Linked DNA regions of Callithrix jacchus. The protein of the gene in region 1 purifies or fractionates together with the protein of each later gene. This does not show direct contact. Links are inferred from orthologs where the notes say so. Each region holds a gene or a part of one and is shown in the gene's direction. Other genes may lie near its edges.

The links.
Region 2: the proteins of MLF1 (region 1) and DNAJB6 purify together in Homo sapiens (affinity purification with mass spectrometry; 3 studies listed by BioGRID and IntAct, counting the BioPlex papers as one, with this or other methods). This does not show direct contact. The link is inferred for Callithrix jacchus from reciprocal best matches to the Homo sapiens genes MLF1 and DNAJB6.

The regions. Positions count from the first base shown.
Region 1 is NC_133518.1:26,941,126-26,949,723, reverse strand, and holds part of MLF1 (myeloid leukemia factor 1), read left to right. Parts: intron 1-2,522; coding exon 2,523-2,670; intron 2,671-3,477; coding exon 3,478-3,522; intron 3,523-6,950; coding exon 6,951-7,034; intron 7,035-8,222; coding exon 8,223-8,351; intron 8,352-8,598. UniProt on the Homo sapiens protein: Involved in lineage commitment of primary hemopoietic progenitors by restricting erythroid formation and enhancing myeloid formation.
Region 2 is NC_133512.1:90,872,781-90,881,378, reverse strand, and holds part of DNAJB6 (dnaJ homolog subfamily B member 6), read left to right. Parts: intron 1-170; coding exon 171-302; intron 303-3,383; coding exon 3,384-3,525; intron 3,526-4,379; coding exon 4,380-4,450; intron 4,451-8,598. UniProt on the Homo sapiens protein: Has a stimulatory effect on the ATPase activity of HSP70 in a dose-dependent and time-dependent manner and hence acts as a co-chaperone of HSP70. Plays an indispensable role in the organization of KRT8/KRT18 filaments.

The DNA.
Region 1 (8,598 bases):
TGCTAATCTTCAACTCACACTTGGAACAGTTATGCTTTTTTTGACTTCCAAGGTAATGTATGAATAAATCTGAGCTCTTTTGGAATAGGTTTATGTATGCAAATACTGTGAAATTCAGAGAAAATGTTCTTTCTACCTGGAATTACAGGCAGAAGACAGAATTTTTTAGCTTCCTCCTTTGAGCTGGAGCTGCAAGGAAAATTTTAGCTTCATGATGACATCAGAGGATTGGAATTAGAAGGAGAAAGGGTGACTTAAGAAAAATGTAACTGAAATGGAGAAGTGTGAAAGTAGGCCAGACTATTGGGAAGAGGGGGCTTCCATTGGACTGCCAGAAATCATGGTGTACCTTAAGTTCTAGAATGAGGAATAAGAAATTGACTAGTGCATCAGTAACTGTCCAGCTGGAACAAAGTTGGGAAACCATTGTGATAAAGTAAAAAAAAAAAATTTAGATTCTTCAATAAGACTTGTGATGAACAAGTCTTGGTTAACATCAGATTATAGTGTTGATATTTATAAAGCACACAGAATAGAGCCTGAAATGTGATCCTTGCTGTGGGTTTTTTTTGTTTTGTTTTGTTTTTTGTTGTTGTTGTTTTTGACAGAGTCTCACACTGTTGCCCAGGCTGGAGTGCAGTGGTGCAGTCTTGGCTGCAATCTCCACCTCCCAGGTTCAAACGATTCTCCTGCTTCAGGCTCCTGAGTAGCTGGGAGTACAAGCATGCACCATCATGCCTGGCTAATTTTTGTATTTTTGGCAGAGACAGAGTTTCAACATATTGGTCAGGCTGGTCTTTAACTCCTGATCTCGTGATCTGCCTGCCTCAGCATTGGGCTGGGTGCGGTGGCTCACGCCTGTAATTCCTGCTGTGTTTTTAAAATAAATCACTCTTTTTTTTCATGAGAGTATTAAATGATAGAATAATAGAGTGACATCCAAACATGAGTCAGGAAGAGGAGATAAGAGAAATTGACATTTATTCAACATATTTTCACTCAGATACTCAGTTTTGTGCTTTCAGATTCCACTATTTAATTTCAAGAACAGGGATATGCAATATTACCCTTATTCTACAACAGGAAATTTAGGCTCAGGAGGAGAGGCTCAGGTTCTAATTAATTCAGGAGGCACAAACACAGAAGGGATACTGTTTCTCAAAGGTCGTTGAGGGACTACTTGAATTAACATCATCAAGGAGGCTGGGTGCTGTGGCACCTGCCTATGCACTTTGGGAGGCCAAGGTGGGCAGATCACTTTAGCTCAGGAGTTTGAGAACAGCCTCGGCAACATGGCAAGACCATCTCTGCAAAAAATATAAAAATTAGCCAGGCACAGTGGCATATGTCTGTAGTACCAGTTACTTGGGGGGCTAAGGCAGGAGGATGGCTTGAGCCTAGGAGGTGGAGGCTGCAGTGAGCCAAGATCATACCACTGCACTCCAGCCTAGGTGACAGAATGATGCCCTATGTAAAAAAAAAAAATTATTAGGGATGCATGTCTACAAATCATATTCAGAGCAAGTGAATTTGATTGGGGTAGGGAGGGTGGCAGTGGTAGATAGGAATCTGCATTGCTAACCATCTCACTGTTGGTACAGATATTTTGGTTATGTGGTGATTCCTAGTATTTAAGAGTTTTTAGAAAGTTAGCTTCGTAAACATCTGTAGCTTTGACTTTGTCTATTTAAAAATATAGCTTTACAATGGTCATAACATAGCTATAGTTCTCAATGCTTATATTTCCTACATAAGAGTTAAAAAATAAACCAGTCAGTATTTATTAATCCTCTCTGGAATTTATATTATTGACTGCCCAAAATGGACTCTACCTGAAAACAGTATTTTTCAGATTACTTTATTTGCCATTTCTTTTAGCTTAAGCAACCTGAGACATGTTACTTTGTGTTTACCATTTTTATGCAATATGGGATAAAGGTGTATTTTTTATTATGCATTAAATGAATTATAGTAGATGAAAATAACAGGTTTTCATTAATTTTATTTATCAACATAGATGCTTCTCAACTTACGATGAGATTACATTCCAATGAAACCATAGCAAGTTGAAAATATTACACATCAAAATTCATTTAATACACAACCTACTGAGTATCATCGAAACATATACATTAGCCTACAGTTGGGCAACATCATGTAATATAAAGCCTACTTTATTATAAAGTGTTGAATATCTCATGTAATTTATTGACTACTGTACTGAAAGTGAAAACCAGCATGGCTCTATGGGTCCTTGAAGTACTGTTTCTACTGAATGCATAGTGCTTTCATACAACAGTAAAGTCAAAAAACTTTAACTTGAACCATTGTAAGTAGGGAACCATCTAAAAAATGGATCTTTGTGAGATAATTCTATCCTATTTCTGAATAAAATAGAATTCTATTCTATTCTTCTTTTATCTCTTTAACAAACATCCCAAAATAATTCTTTGTGGCATTTAGCTGCCTACTTATTTAAATTCCAACCCTGAATCTTTCTTGATTATGTATATTTTCAACAGTGAATCCATTCTTGCACACCAAGAAAATATGCGACAGATGATGAGAAGTGTTTCTGAACCCTTTGGAAGAGATTTGCCCAGTATCTCTGATGGTAGAGGGAGAGCTCATAATCGTAGAGGACGTAATGATGATGAAGATACTTTGACTGTAAGTTCTTTTTTTCCCAAAGACAGTTGGTGAGAAAGACCTGTAGGAATTTGAAGAAGAGTACTATAGAAGTATATATCTATAATGATATGATATAACTAATATTCTTGTTATAGAAATAACTTATTTAAAAGGGGGGACCTTTGGAAAGCTGAATCCTTGAATAGCGACTTGTCAGCAATATAGAATTCCACTGTGCTACCAAAACTTTGAGGACCATAGGGTTATATATTACAAGGCAAACTTAAAACCATTATTTTTTATATTTATGTATACATTTCTCACCTTATAATTTCCTCCCATATCTGAAACTAGAACAGGCAAGGAAATGTCCTTTCTCTCCCATACGAATTGTTTTAATACTTGAAAATAATATCAAAAGCTGCAAAGGATTATCTTTATTGGAATATAAAAAAGTTTAGGCAATATTCCATATGGTTACCTATGGACTTTCAAAGCTTAGATTAACCTTTAATTGTATCTCAAAAGTCTTGCAACTGCAATATATTTTCATGTGTCTTGCCTTAGAGCAAAGCTAGAGGCTACAAATATACTCAACTAAACATTTTAAAAAAAAAACAGGATATTTATACATTGTAACCATTATTTTTTGCCTCTTTTATTTCTGTCACTTTTTCAGCCTCAGGAATGATAGCTCTAAGATAACAAGTCCTCAGGGGTTTCTATAAAGATGAATTTCTGCAATTGAAATGTAGATATTTGAAACTCAGTAAACGTTTAATTGGTAAATTGAGAAACTTCTATATAATAAATGTCATAATCAAAATTAATTGGATATTTTTCCAGGCAATGAATTGTTCTCTTGTGCCTTTTGGCAGTTTTGGTGCTATGGTTCGTATCAGACACAAATCATTTTAGCAATATTTTCTGACAAATACTTATTTTTCATTAACTCTGACTGACTAAATTGGCATGCAATCTCACTTTCATAATGGCTTTTTAATATTTGTACTGAAAACCTCTGTTTCATGTATCAAACTTACCTTAGAAAGTTTAGGCACATGTTTCCTGAAGTAAGTCATTTCAACATATATAAAATTCATCTTCAAAAAAAGTAGATATTAATAGATGAATATTTGCTTGATTTACAAAAGGGATTCTCATAGTTGTGTTTGAAAGCTGGGGACTTTCACATGCTTATGATGACTTTCCAAAAGGTTAAAAAAAAAAGGTACTAAACTGTAGATAGATAAGCACAGCATTTGGAAAAGCACAGATTGACTGCTTTGTCTAGGATTTTGCTGCCAGCTTGCCATGCAGCTTTTTCTTATCTGTACTTAAGAATGGCTACTCTGCAACCAGCATTTCTACCACCTGTTTCTTAGGGTTTTTGTGCTGTGTCTGTGATGCTAGCTTCCAGCACACTAAACGCATTCTAGGGAGTAGCAGAAAATAACATGAATTTGGAACATTTGTATCTACAGTCTCATGAAAAGAGTTTTAAAAAAATTTTTTGTGCTACAGTTGCATTATTTGTTTCCTTGAAGTTTAACATACAGGCATAACATTTGTTCCTCCTGACCAGAGTATTCAGTAAGACAAATGACAAAAGCAGTTATAACACAGAGTTATGAGTAAAATGATCAGGAAGTTCAGCATGCTATGGGAGGGAGCACAGATCGGAAAAAGCACCTTTTGAGGTGGGGTGGGTCAATCCAAGTAGACTTCCTGAAACTTAAGGATTAGTAGCAGTTAGCTAGAAAAGGAGAGAGAGGAAAGGAATACTGTTCAACACAGAGAAAACAACCTGTGCAAAGACCTGGAGGCTAGGTAGCTAAAGTTGTTCAGAATCAATTAGCCCCAGAGTGTAAGTTGAACAGTAGACACTGATGATGATGAAGTGGTAACCAGAGACTTCTTTAGGCCATAGGAAGGAAAGTAAACATTATCTTAATAGCAGAGGAAGCAGTGATGACTAATGTCAAAGTGGTAATAGAGTCAGATTTTTGAAAGATTAGAAGAGACTACAGTGGAGGCAGTGAAGTCAAAAGGCTGTTGAAGAATTCTGGATAAAGTATTAGTGATGACTTACTTCTACTAGTAATGACTATGATGATAAAAATGAATTATTTCATTCAAGAGAGGGTTAAAAGGATGAATGGCTAGAACTTAGTGATTGGTAGGGTTGAAAGAGCAATAGAGAGGGAGAAGGGGAGTATCACACCCATTTTTCTGGCACAAAGAATGAGGTAGGAATGCCACTGAGATAAGGCATTGGTTCAGTATAGATGTAAGAGTGGAGTAGTCAAAACCATCATTTTAGTTTTGGGTGTTTTGCATTTGAGACATCTGGGGTTTTCCAGGGAGATTTATCTGGTAAACTATTGGATATATGGATTTGAGCTGAGCTAGAGATAATTTGTTCATTCATTCCACAAATATTTGTTAAACCCTCTTGAATGCCAGAAATTGTTATATATGTTTTGGGAATATTGTAAATAAAATTGACAAAATGGCCCTGTGTACAAAATTTTTGAAAGCCTTAAGGGCCCACTGAAGTCTCAACTCCATTTTGTACCCAAACTTTTTGTCACTCTAGTGTGTTGGGTCACCCCAGAGCAAGGGGTGCAGACACATCTTTTGGTGGTTGATTTGAACATGAATTGAGAAGAGGGCAGACATACCCCAATGTCTGATCTTTTCCTTTCTGTCTATTTCTCCTTTGGATTAACCTTTCCATATCTCATGAAATAAGAACGGATTCTCCGTCTAGCATTAAACTCTACTTCAGTCCTTTTTGTAGTCAAATATATATTAATACTTCCTAAATGTGCCTTTGTTGTTCCGAACTATATTAAGTGCAGGTTTCTAGGAGGAATTTGGTTTTCCCACCTATTTTCCATTGTTAATATATGTAAAAATCCAATAGCAATAGAAGGCAGAGGCACAAACAGGCCTTAGAGATTCAGCGCTCTGCTTGCTTGAACAGAGAAGTTCCTTAAACCAAGCAACTCCTTCTATTTTATAACAGATGATTTACTGGGTAACACATTGAAATGTGTGCTTGACTTTTATTTGCTGGCGAGTCTTCCAGTGATGAAACCTAAAATCAGTGGTAGATTTTCCTAGAACAAAGTGTCTTAACCTCAGCACTACTGTCATTTTGGGCTGGGTAATTCTTTGTTCTGGGACTGTCCTATCCATTGTAGGATGTTAAGCAGTATCCCTGACCGCCATCCACTAAATGCTAGTTACATGCTCTCCTCACCTGTGACAGCCAAAAATGAGTATAGTTATTGCCAAATGTCTCCTGAGAGTCAAAATCAATCTTGGTTGAGAAACTACTGTTTAGAGGAATTCTTAACTGTTTTTCTGAAGAAGCATACCTCATACTTCAAGGGTGTAGCCTACTGACCCTTCAGTAGGCAGAAAATTGAAGGCCTATTTAGTAAAGTGAATTGATTTCTGTCACCTGGATCCTACTATGAATAGAGGAAGGCTGTCTACTTACCAGAGGGGCAGCTTCTTTGATCCTTGTAGTACTGGTGGGGGTGACATTGGCATCTTTTTTTTTTTGAGACAGAGTTTTGCTCTCGTTACCCAGGCTGGAGTGCAATGGCGCGATCTCAGCTCACGGTAACCTCCGCTTCCTGGGTTCAGGCAATTCTCCTTCCTCAGCCTCCTGAGTAGCTGGGATTACAGGCAGGCGCCACCATGCCCAGCTAATTTTTTGTATTTTTAGTAGAGATGGGGTTTCACCATGTTGACCAGGATGGTCTCAATCTCTTGACCTTGTGATCCACCCGCCTCGGCCTCCCAAAGTGCTGGGATTACAGGCTTGAGCCACTGCGCCTGGCTGACATTGGCATCTTATACCCAAGTTTTATTTATTTGCATGGTGGAGCATTGAGAGATAAGGAAAATTATGAAAACTATTCTATGCTAGAAAATATATCACTTAGTATTTAACATATACCAAATTCTGTTTTGAAAAGTGAGCAATGAGTGATTAGGTGTATGTGTGTATTTGTATATATATGCGCATGTATATGTGTATATATACACATGTGCATATATGTATTTATAATGTTACAATTCCCTAATTATTTGTATGTTGCCTCTTTGGGATTTTGTGTATGCTTCAGTTTTCTCCTTAACTAATCGCTGTTATTTTATGCTCTTTAAGTTATCTTTGTCTGGTTGATTACTGCATGAGATTCTACTAAATGAATAAAAAAAAATTTAGCTGTTTTGGAAGATGTATTTGCATCTTTTGTGTTGTACTTATAGTTGATAACAAATTTCCTGATATTCTATAGCATACAGATGTCAGCCCTTTTCAGACAGTGGACCAAATGTTGTCAAATATGAGAAACCGTGTGCAGCAATTAGAAAGAAACTTTGTAAGTACTAAAAATAAAGCATTGAGAACATTGTGTATACTTTGGTATATTATATTTCATAGTGGCTTTCAAACTTTTTTAACCATAGTGGTTAAAAAGATATTTTACATGATTAACCGAATAAGCAATATTTGTATACTTTATAAATGTATTTGAAGTAAAATTTTCATGAAAAAAATGACTATACTCTTTACAGTATATATAGTTATTTTCTGGTGTATTTCATGTTTTAAAAATCCTGGTTACAACCTACTAAATTGAGTTCATAACCTCCAAGTTTGAAAAATAATGTTGACTTTCAAAATTTAAAAAAAATTTGGAAAAAAGTTAACCTCAAAAACATTGAATCTACTGAAAGTCACTATTGTAAATGAACATTTTATATGAATTTGCATAATTTTATTGGTTATTAACAATAAAATTAACCTGTTTAGTTAAAAGGATTAATATTGTTAATATTAATAATATTAACCTGTTTACTTAAAAGGATTTGTAACATCTGAAGAGTTATGTTTTAGGGTTTTATAAATAACTCTGAAAACAGAAATTTTGGGAATGTTGTTTAGATATAAAACCCTGATAGTTCAAATACTTATAAACTAGTACTATAGTAATACTCTTTCTTTTCTACTTAACATTAAAACCAGTCACTTGATGTGATCTGAAGAAGACCCAAATCATTCTAGTCATCCAATTTGAATTCTATGGATCATTTCAGAATGCCCAAATAATCTAGGGCATTATTGGTTTTAGTAATGTAGCAATCTGGCATCTACAGGAAGAGGTATGAAACTTGATGTATAACTAATTGGCTTGATTGGCAAGATTACACAAAAGGGTCAACCACTGAATATAGAAGTGTCACAAGTTTGGGGGCATAGCATCTTTATTGAAATCTGAGCCACAAGCACCCAAAGACTTAAGGATCTCCGAGTGAGACATAAGGCAAGCGGGATGGTACCCAAAATGGATGACCATTAGGCCTCTAGGGATGCCTTTTTTTTTTTTGTGGTAATTTTTCAAGTTATTTCTCACTTGAGAACCTGGATGTGCCCTTTGGCTACACCATATTGGTAGTTTAGTATCCTTAGGCAGAACTTACAGCTAGTGTTGTTACTTATTTGAACTCTCTGGCAATAATTATTTATATTCGACCCGACTTTGAATTTACAATTTGTTTACCTGTAGGGTCAACTTTCAGTGGATCCAAATGGACATTCATTTTGTTCTTCCTCAGTTATGACTTACTCCAAAGTAGGAGATGAACCGCCAAAGGTTTTTCAGGCCTCAACTCAAACCCGTCGAGCTCCAGGAGGAGTAAGTTTTCTATAAGCATTCCTAGAGCTTTATAAAGTTGTGGACTGATAGACTGTCTATAGAAGTATCACAGGTTTGGGGACATAGGTGTAGTTAACTACTAAAATTTGATCTGGTACAAGGTGGCTGGGGGACAGGAGGAAGCTGTAGGGTTGGGGTTAAGGTTGTCCTCACTGTGGAAACCATTAAAACTCAATGTATTTACTTAGTTTGTGGCAATTTTCACCCGCTTGACAGTGCCTTTTTT
Region 2 (8,598 bases), on another chromosome or scaffold:
TGGTATTTCAGTTACTCTGTAGATACACTGTTTTGTTACTACCTGTTTTCTAAATTTTTGTTTCTGAATATGTTAAAAAACATTCATCTATTTTCTCTTATTGTAGCTATCCCATGAGGAAAAAAACTTGGAAAAAAGACTTCATCGTGTGTGTTTGTGTTTGATTTTAGAAGACCCTTTTGAGGAGTTCTTTGGGAATCGAAGGGGTCCCCGAGGAAGCAGAAGCCGAGGGACGGGGGCGTTCTTCTCTGCGTTCAGTGGATTTCCATCTTTTGGAAGTGCATTTCCTTCTTTTGATACAGGTATTAAATCCCTAGATTTAATCTCTATTGCCTTAATAAAAACAGTTAGTACTTATAAGGGTAATATTCTTTTAGTTAGAGCACTTTAAAATACGTGTATTCTTTTTTTTTTTTTCCATTGAGATGGAGTTTTGTTCTTGTTGCCCAGGCTGGAGTGCAGTGGCATGATCTTGGCTAAGTCTGCCTCTCAGGTTCAAGCGATTCTCCTGCCTCAGCCTCCCAAGTAGTTGGGATTACAGGCATGCACTGCCATGCCCTGCTAATTTTTGACTTCCAAGTCTTACTTAAGAAATACATTTTATAATACATTAGCTGTCACAGATAGTTTTTCCTTTGCTGGATCTGGGCAAAGTCAATGAAAAAATTTCTGGGGAAAAAAAAAAACAATAGTTTTAGATGGCATTAAGAACAGTGTGATTCATGGAAGGAAGGAGGTGAAAGTATCAACCTGAGCAGTAGTTTGGGAAGAAGTTGATTCCATTCCTCACGGGTGACTGAGGAGTTCAGAACTTCAGTGGAGGAAATCATGCAGATGTGGCAGGAATAGAAAGAGAACTAGAATTTTTTTTTTTTTTTTTTTAGTATGAAATGTTTTTAATCCTAGAAAGGATGCCATTGCTAGTAAAACTAAAGAGGGGAAAGTCAACAATAATGAAATTAAGGTTTTTTTTAAAATTCAGTGAACACATATCAAAATGCTCAATGTTGTTAAATGACATGATATAATTTATCCACAGAAGACATGTTCTTATTTTTTTAGTAGAGATGGGGTTTCGCGATGTTGGACAGGCTGGTTTCGAACTCCTGACCTCAAGTGATCCACCTGCTTCGGCCTCCCAAAGTGCTGGGATCACAGGCGTGAGCCGCCGCGCCCGGCCTGTGTGTTCCTTCTGCAGCATAGCATTGTAGAATTTGCCAGCTTGTTTTGGTGCACAGATCTGCGCTGCATAACCTCCATTTTCTCCTAATCTCCTACGATTGTCCTTGGAAATCTTACTGTGAATACGATATGCAGGATGAGAATGCAATGAAATTCTTAGTTTAAAAGAATGTATATTCTGGGTTAGTATATGGAAAGTAACGCACCTGGAAAATCTCAACTAACCTTCATGCTTTCTAACCTCCTTTGCAGTTAAAATGAAAGTACACAAATGGGTAGCATCCTCGGAGTGTCCCACTGATGGAAACGCTGCTCATAGACTGGAGCAATATGAAAATGTGTGTTAAGCCTGAAGAATTAGAATCCCACTTTTCTCTCAAACTCATCCAGTGTCTCTTCACAGAGGAGTTTGGTTTTTTTTTTTTTAAATACAGAGTCTCACTTTTAGTGGGTGCCCTCTTAGTGTAGTGGCATGATCTCGGCTCACCACAACTTCCCGCATCCTGGGTTCAAGTGATTATTGTGCCTCAGCCTCCTGAGTAGCTGGAATTACAGGTGTGCACCACCAGGCCCAGTTAATTTTTGTATTTTTAATAGAGACAGGTTTTGTCATGTTGGCCAGGCTGGTCTTGAACTGACCTCAGGTAGATCTGCCTGCCTCGGCCTCCCAAAGTGCTGAGGTTTCAGTCATGAGCCACCACATGTGGCCTGGAGCTGTTGTTTTGATTCTCTCATTTTTATGTTTAAACCTTCACGGTAAGAATTGGGAGAGCTTGTAATACAGCATTCCGCCCTCATAAGGTCAGAGTTTTATTTTCTTTCAACATTGTGCTCATGCAGCTAGGCAGATAGTGAAGTCTGCTCGATTGGACCTCAGTTCAGATGTGCTTTCCCTCAACAGAGCCTCTCATTGATAGGATGCAATATGCTGACCACAGGTTAAAAATACCATGTAAATAGTCCTTTTTAAAAGTATTCAGTGGCTCCTGTGTGGGGCTGTTGTGCAGCAAGCTGTCCCCACTTCTGAGGTGCCTTACAAAGTATCATAAGAATCAATACTTAGGTAGGCTTCATCTAGACCAGCGCAGTAGCCACCAGCCACATGTAGCTCCTGAGCCCTGGAGGCCTGGCGACTCCACAGGGAGATCAGTGCGAGTGTGAAACAGTCACTGGATTTCAAAGACTGAGCATGGCAAGCAGTGTAAAATACGGCGAACAATTTTGATTTTTTAAATTTCCAGCTGAAATATTTTGGATATACTCTATTCAATACTGAAATTAATTTCACTAGTTTCTGCTTTTTAGTGAACTCATTAGAAAAGGTAAACTTAACATACCTGGCTCACATAGTTCTTCAGGACACCATGAGTGCTAGACAGTGTCAGGGCGTAGATGATGAATCATGTTCAGAGTATGCGTCATTTGTGTTAATGTGAGCATTTTGGAAGCAACGTGAGTATTCAACTCTAACCAGTAGACCAGGTTTAATACCAAAAAGAGTTTGCTTTAGTGTGATGTATCAAGCTTTTTAGTGTCCACAATGTGATTGCGTCCATAACGTGTAATTGAGAATGGTGCCTGTGAACTGTAGAACCATAGCTTTTTCAGATGAATGCTTGTAACATTCCCTCTCAAATGAGCTTTTTTAGTTAGTTTCTTATTCTCTGTGGTCCTGTGGCAAAGCAAAGGGAAGCCAGTTAGGTTTGCTATTCTGTGGTGGTGAGGTTACTCTGTTGGTGTCGGATAAGGATATCCATCACAGCCCGTGGAGTTGACAGGCCACGCCGAGGCAACATAGCTTAATATTGAGGCTGGTCTGCTGGTTAGAGCTTAATACCAGTCCTGGTTCAAAGGTTAACGTTAATGCAGATGACACGTGCTCTGTCGTGCCAAGCAGACCACCCACGAGCAGGGCCGGCCTGTGGCATGTTGGCACTGACGGTCTGTGTGAGGAGACAGAGAGGGGCTGCCCTGAAGCTCTGTGGCGCTCGTGCTCCCCTGGAACCCCCGCTGAGGGATTTGAGAGGGTCTTTTCCCCTGGGACCACAGCACTTCACTGGAGGCCTTATTAGTGCCTGGTGTGTTACTCATTGGTTCCATGTCTTAACGTTAGATAATCTACTAGTGAATTTTCAAACTCTAATCTTTGCAGTAGTGATTGACATATTCCTCTAAGCATTTTCTTTTCTGTTTTCCTGTAGGATTTACTTCCTTTGGGTCACTGGGTCACGGAGGCCTCACTTCATTTTCTTCTGCATCGTTTGCTGGTAGTGGGATGGGCAACTTCAAATCGGTATCGACTTCAACTAAAATAGTCAATGGCAGAAAAATCACTACAAAGAGGTACTGTAGCATTCGGTATTGCACATTGTTAGTAAGCAGGCATAACGTTTCACTGGTGCCCTGTTGCACATCTCCCAGAGTGTGAAGTCACACACGTGGCTGTGTGCCGGATGTGGCACCACATCTCCCAGAGCGTGAAGTGTGCCAGATCCGGCACCACATCTCCCAGAGTGTGAAGTCACACGTGGCTGTGTGCCCCATCTTGGCACCACATCTCCCAGAGTGTGAAGTCACACGTGGCTGTGTGCCCCATCTTGGCACCACATCTCCCAGAGTGTGAAGTCACACAGGTGGCTGTGTGCCCCATGTGGCACCACATCTCCCAGTGTGAAGTCACACAGGTGGCAGTGTGCTGGATCTGGCACCACATCTCCCAGAGTGTGAAGTCACACATGTGGCTGTGTGCCCCATCTGGCACCGTGAAAAACCGTTTACTCTACAGATGCATTCATGAAGGCTTTTTCTCTTTAGTTAAAGTTGATTTATTAGAAGGAATCTTTAGAGCCGTATTTTATGTGTAATAATGTGTTTAGTAAGTTTCCGCGGCAGTGTTAAAATGGTAAAATGGAAAATCAATAATAAAGCCTTTCCTGTTTTATCTGTGCCTTTATTTAACATTCACCTGAACAGCTGAATGAGTGAATATCAGAGACACAATTTGTTTTTGTCAGGATAATTCTGTTTTAGGAAAGGAAGATGTATTGTTCACAGGTTGGCTTCAGCCATGTTTTTTTCAGCCTAGAAATTACTTATATTCATGGTGTACTGCAGTAATGTCCTTAAAACATACTTATTTACCCTCACACATGTATTTATGTTACCAAAAAGCTTCTTAAATGAATTTTTTCCTACAGAATTGTCGAGAATGGTGAAGAAAGAGTAGAGGTTGAAGAAGACGGCCAGTTAAAGTCCTTAACAATAAATGGTAAGGAGCAGCTGCGGCGCTTGGATAACAAGTAATTCAACGCACGCGCTTAACAGAAATGTTAAACTATAACAAGCACCATTTGAGGATTAACAGGAACATTTTTTTGAAGATTTCAAACGAACTCGACTTTCAGTATAATTGTACCTAAAGTATTTATAAACAGCTCATCGGAGCCTCTATTTGTCATAGACTTTTGAGTTTATTGTTGGGACCACATAATAGGACCATTTTTTTTTTGTCTTTAAAATTGTTGTAAATCTCTGTATGCACTTTGCTTTTTTATTAAACGTACTCCAAGGTGAGTCTTGACTCTTTAGTGTAGGACAAGATTGTACACTAACACCAGCATGGACCTGCTTTTCATTGTGTCTGAAATTGTGAGCCACGTAGCGTCGGCCTGCTGTGAAGTTAACATGGCCAGGACGAATCTTCTACAGAAATAATTTCCATTTTTTTCAGTATTTAGTAGTGAAAGATATTAATGCATTAACGGTAATACATTTCTGGTTTAATATAAATTACGGATGTTTTCTAGTTGTGCATGAATGCTGGCAACTTAGTAAGTTTTGACAATTGTTTAAATATGTAATGTTAAGCTTAGGTTTAAAAAAGTAAAGCTGGTAAACCGGGTGTTTGTCATTTGCTTAAAAAAAAAAAAAAAAAAAAAGAAAATAAATTTGAATGTGTTGGTGCATTCTTCCTGAGTGGGATCTGGAGCCTTCTTGTGTCCGTGTGTGATTTGTGCCTGGGCTTCCCTAGTGTCACTTCCATAGCGTTTTGTGATGTTCATTCCGGTGGATGCCACACCTCAGTTACATATAGACATTTTCTTCAGTATATTTGGAGTATATGAAGATTTTCATATTGTGAGTTCCTATTTAGCAATCGACTAAACATTTAATTACAGTTAACATTTCTACAGGGGTGGGAAGAAACTACTTTATAATTTTCACTCTTAAAGTATGTTCTAGTTTTTAGGATTTGATTGATGTAAGCTCACTTATGGAGTGAGGTGCGATGGCTTACTCCTGTAATCTCAATGCTTTGGGAGGCCGAGGTGGGTAGATCATCTGAGGTTCGGAGTTCGAGACCAGCCTGACCAACATTAGCTGGGTGTGGTGGTGGGCGCCTCAGTAATCCCAGCTACTCAGGAGGCTGAAGCAGGAGAACTGCTTGAACCCGGGAGGCATAGGTTGCAGTGAGCCGAGATCATGCCACTGCACTCCAGCCTGGTGACAGAGGGAGACTCTGTCTCGCAAAACAAAAAAAAAAACACAAAACACTTAATGGACAGTATGTATGGTACAGTCATGGAATGATTTAGGAGTGAGCAAAAATAAAGGTATTTTGTTTCTCAGTTTGTAGTATCTTTCTTGATTACCATTAGTAGTTAGAATTCTAGCCATAGTGAATTTTGAACTAGACTTTTAATTTAAAAAACTCTGTTTTGTTTTGGAACTAAACAGTGTGAAAGCTACTAGAAGGATAGACATTGCCCTGACAACAGCACGTCCGTGCTGGCATAGCAGGAGGGCATGGAGATTGCTCAGGATATGCCAGAGCCTCTAAGGAACCTGACGTGCTGTCACCCAAAATAAGAAATGTAAGGAATTTCATAGGTGCTCAAAACAGCATAGAAACAGTTAAGTATTTGGGGACAGTTGAACTACAAGAAGAACACGAATGATGTGCTTGTCTGTGTTGTATCACGCGGCACTTGGCATCTCTGGATGAGGTAGGTATGCAGCCATGGCACATGCAGGAAAACAGGAAGCGCCCTCTAGTGTGGTAAATCTCACCTCACAACTGGAATCGGAGGGTTATAGAGCATCCTTTTGTTTATGCTACCTGGACAGGTGGCTTCTTTGTTACTAAATGAGAAATTCAGGTAGATGCTCTGGACTTCAGGTTTTATATTTTTCGTTAGTGCGTGGGATAAGTCAGTGCAGCAGCCTCGAGACATCCAGAAAGAATACGTAAAAACGAAAAGCCTTGTCCTGTAATGTTGAAGTCAGCTAGGAGGAAGTTTGCCACAGCATTTTCAAACGCGTGGATGTTCTGGACTTTGTGGAGTGTTTTATGCAACTCTGAACAGTAGGCTCAACGTGATGTTACTGGTAAAGTGCGTTTGACTCCTAAGGTATCTCTTTGGTGAGAATTTTGAGGGGGAGGGAGCATTCATTTGCATTTGAGAAAATCACTTTTTTTTTTTTTTTTTTTAAATTTTGTGACAGTCTTGCTCTGTCACCCAGGCTGGAGTGCAGTGGCATGATCTTGACTCACTGTAACCTCTGCTATAACTGCCTCCCAGGTTCAAGCGGTTCTCCTGCCTCAGCCTCCCGAGTAGCTGGGATTATAGGTGTGTGCTGCCACACCCGGCTAATTTTTGTATTTTTATTAGAAACAAGGTTTTACCATGTTGTCCAGGCTGGTCTGGAACTCCTGACCTCAAGTGATCCACCCACCTCTGCCTCCCAGTACTGGGAATACAGGCGTGAGCCACCATGCCTGGCTGAGAAAGTTTTATTCTGTTCTTCCATTCATAGAAGTGTAATTTTATTAAGTTAGTAATAGAATAGGAAACATATTTGTTGCTCTCAAATCTTACACCTTTGATTTTTAAACCCTATTAAGTTATTTCTAGATAATTCAGTCTAAGTGTGTAAGTGTGCGTGAGAGCAGCTCTGAAAAGTTAGGAACATGCTTTGAGCATTGATAGCGTCACTTAAGTAAGTGATGACTTGGGAGAGTAATAGCGTTTAATGTCAATCACAGTTGTTGGTAAATTCGACAGTCTCTAGTGTTGAGTGCCTTTGAAAATAGGAAGCTGAATGAACACTCCTTGGTAAACGGCGGTGGGTATGTGCATGTGCGCAGCCCCATGTGGTCCCATCCAGACCAGTGTGCTGTCTGCTGTGTTTGGTTGTGTGCAAACTTCCTGTTCGAGATTATTTTTGAAGTTTTATTTTGAAATTCTTTATTTAAAAAAAATGTTTTAGTAACTTTCAAGTAAGCAGTCTTTGGTGGCGTCATGCATTAGATCGTGGTGAATTCTGAGATGCTAGTTCTCCCAAGCAGTGTATGTTGTACCTACAGTGTAGTTTTTTCGTCCCTCTTTGGCATCTTTTTGTCTGGAGGGCTCAGTAATCTGTATTTTTGTCATCTCTACCGTGTTTTCGTATTCCTTGCAGTTGGAGACTCAGGAAGGGTTTTAAATTATCTGTGGAAGCTGTCAACAGTGGCATCATGGGCTATTCATCCTTCCTCTTGGAAGTTCTTCAATGAGAAGATTTTAGAGGCGGGTGGAGTTAGCGTCAACATTTGCTAAACTTAGCTGTGCACCTGGCGTGCTGAAGGGAGCACTCCTTACAGTGCCTTAATGCCTGAGGGGCACTGTGGGGTGGGTGTCTTTCCGGTCAATATTAATTTCTTTTTATTAATTAAAGCTTTGAAAATGCCTGCTTACTCTGTTTTGATTACCTTCTAGCCATCGTTTCTCTCTCCCGGGAATACTGATCTTGTTTTTCTCCCAAGCACCATAGAATTCATTAGAAACATTTTTATTTGCAGAGGATTCAGCAGTAATAAGTACTTGTCATGTCACCTGCTGTTGATGGGCAGCGGTGTTGAAATTTAGCCATTAGCATGTTCAGTAACAGAACCAAGGCAGATGTTTTTATTTCTGGAGGTTTTCAAGCACAAAGTTACGTTGAGTTGATACTGTAGCGTCTAGAGGGGGCTGAACTACATAACCCACTGCCGTTTGTTATTTTAAAGATCGTTTTACGTTTGGGGTCTTGGTTTCTAGGCCTTTGGATATGGTGTTCCTAGCTGTTCTAGGATGTAGACCTTGGTACTACAGTATGCCCAGTGGTTGAAATGGGATAGACTGAAGGCTGTCATTTGGCCAAGTTATTTCGTCTTCCTGTTTAGAAAGGTGAAGAGGGAATGTCACGGCAGCTCTTGCTCTGTTAGAAATCTAGATGTCCCTGATTTCCGGAGACGGCGGAGTTTATGATTGGGTATCAGAAGGCCTGGCTTCTGTGTCATGGTCCATAGTTGCTGCCTTTTTGCAGGGTGTCAGTCGCTCTTACCTAACTGTTCACTAAGAACTCGACTCTGACGTTTGTGACCGGGGTAAGTTG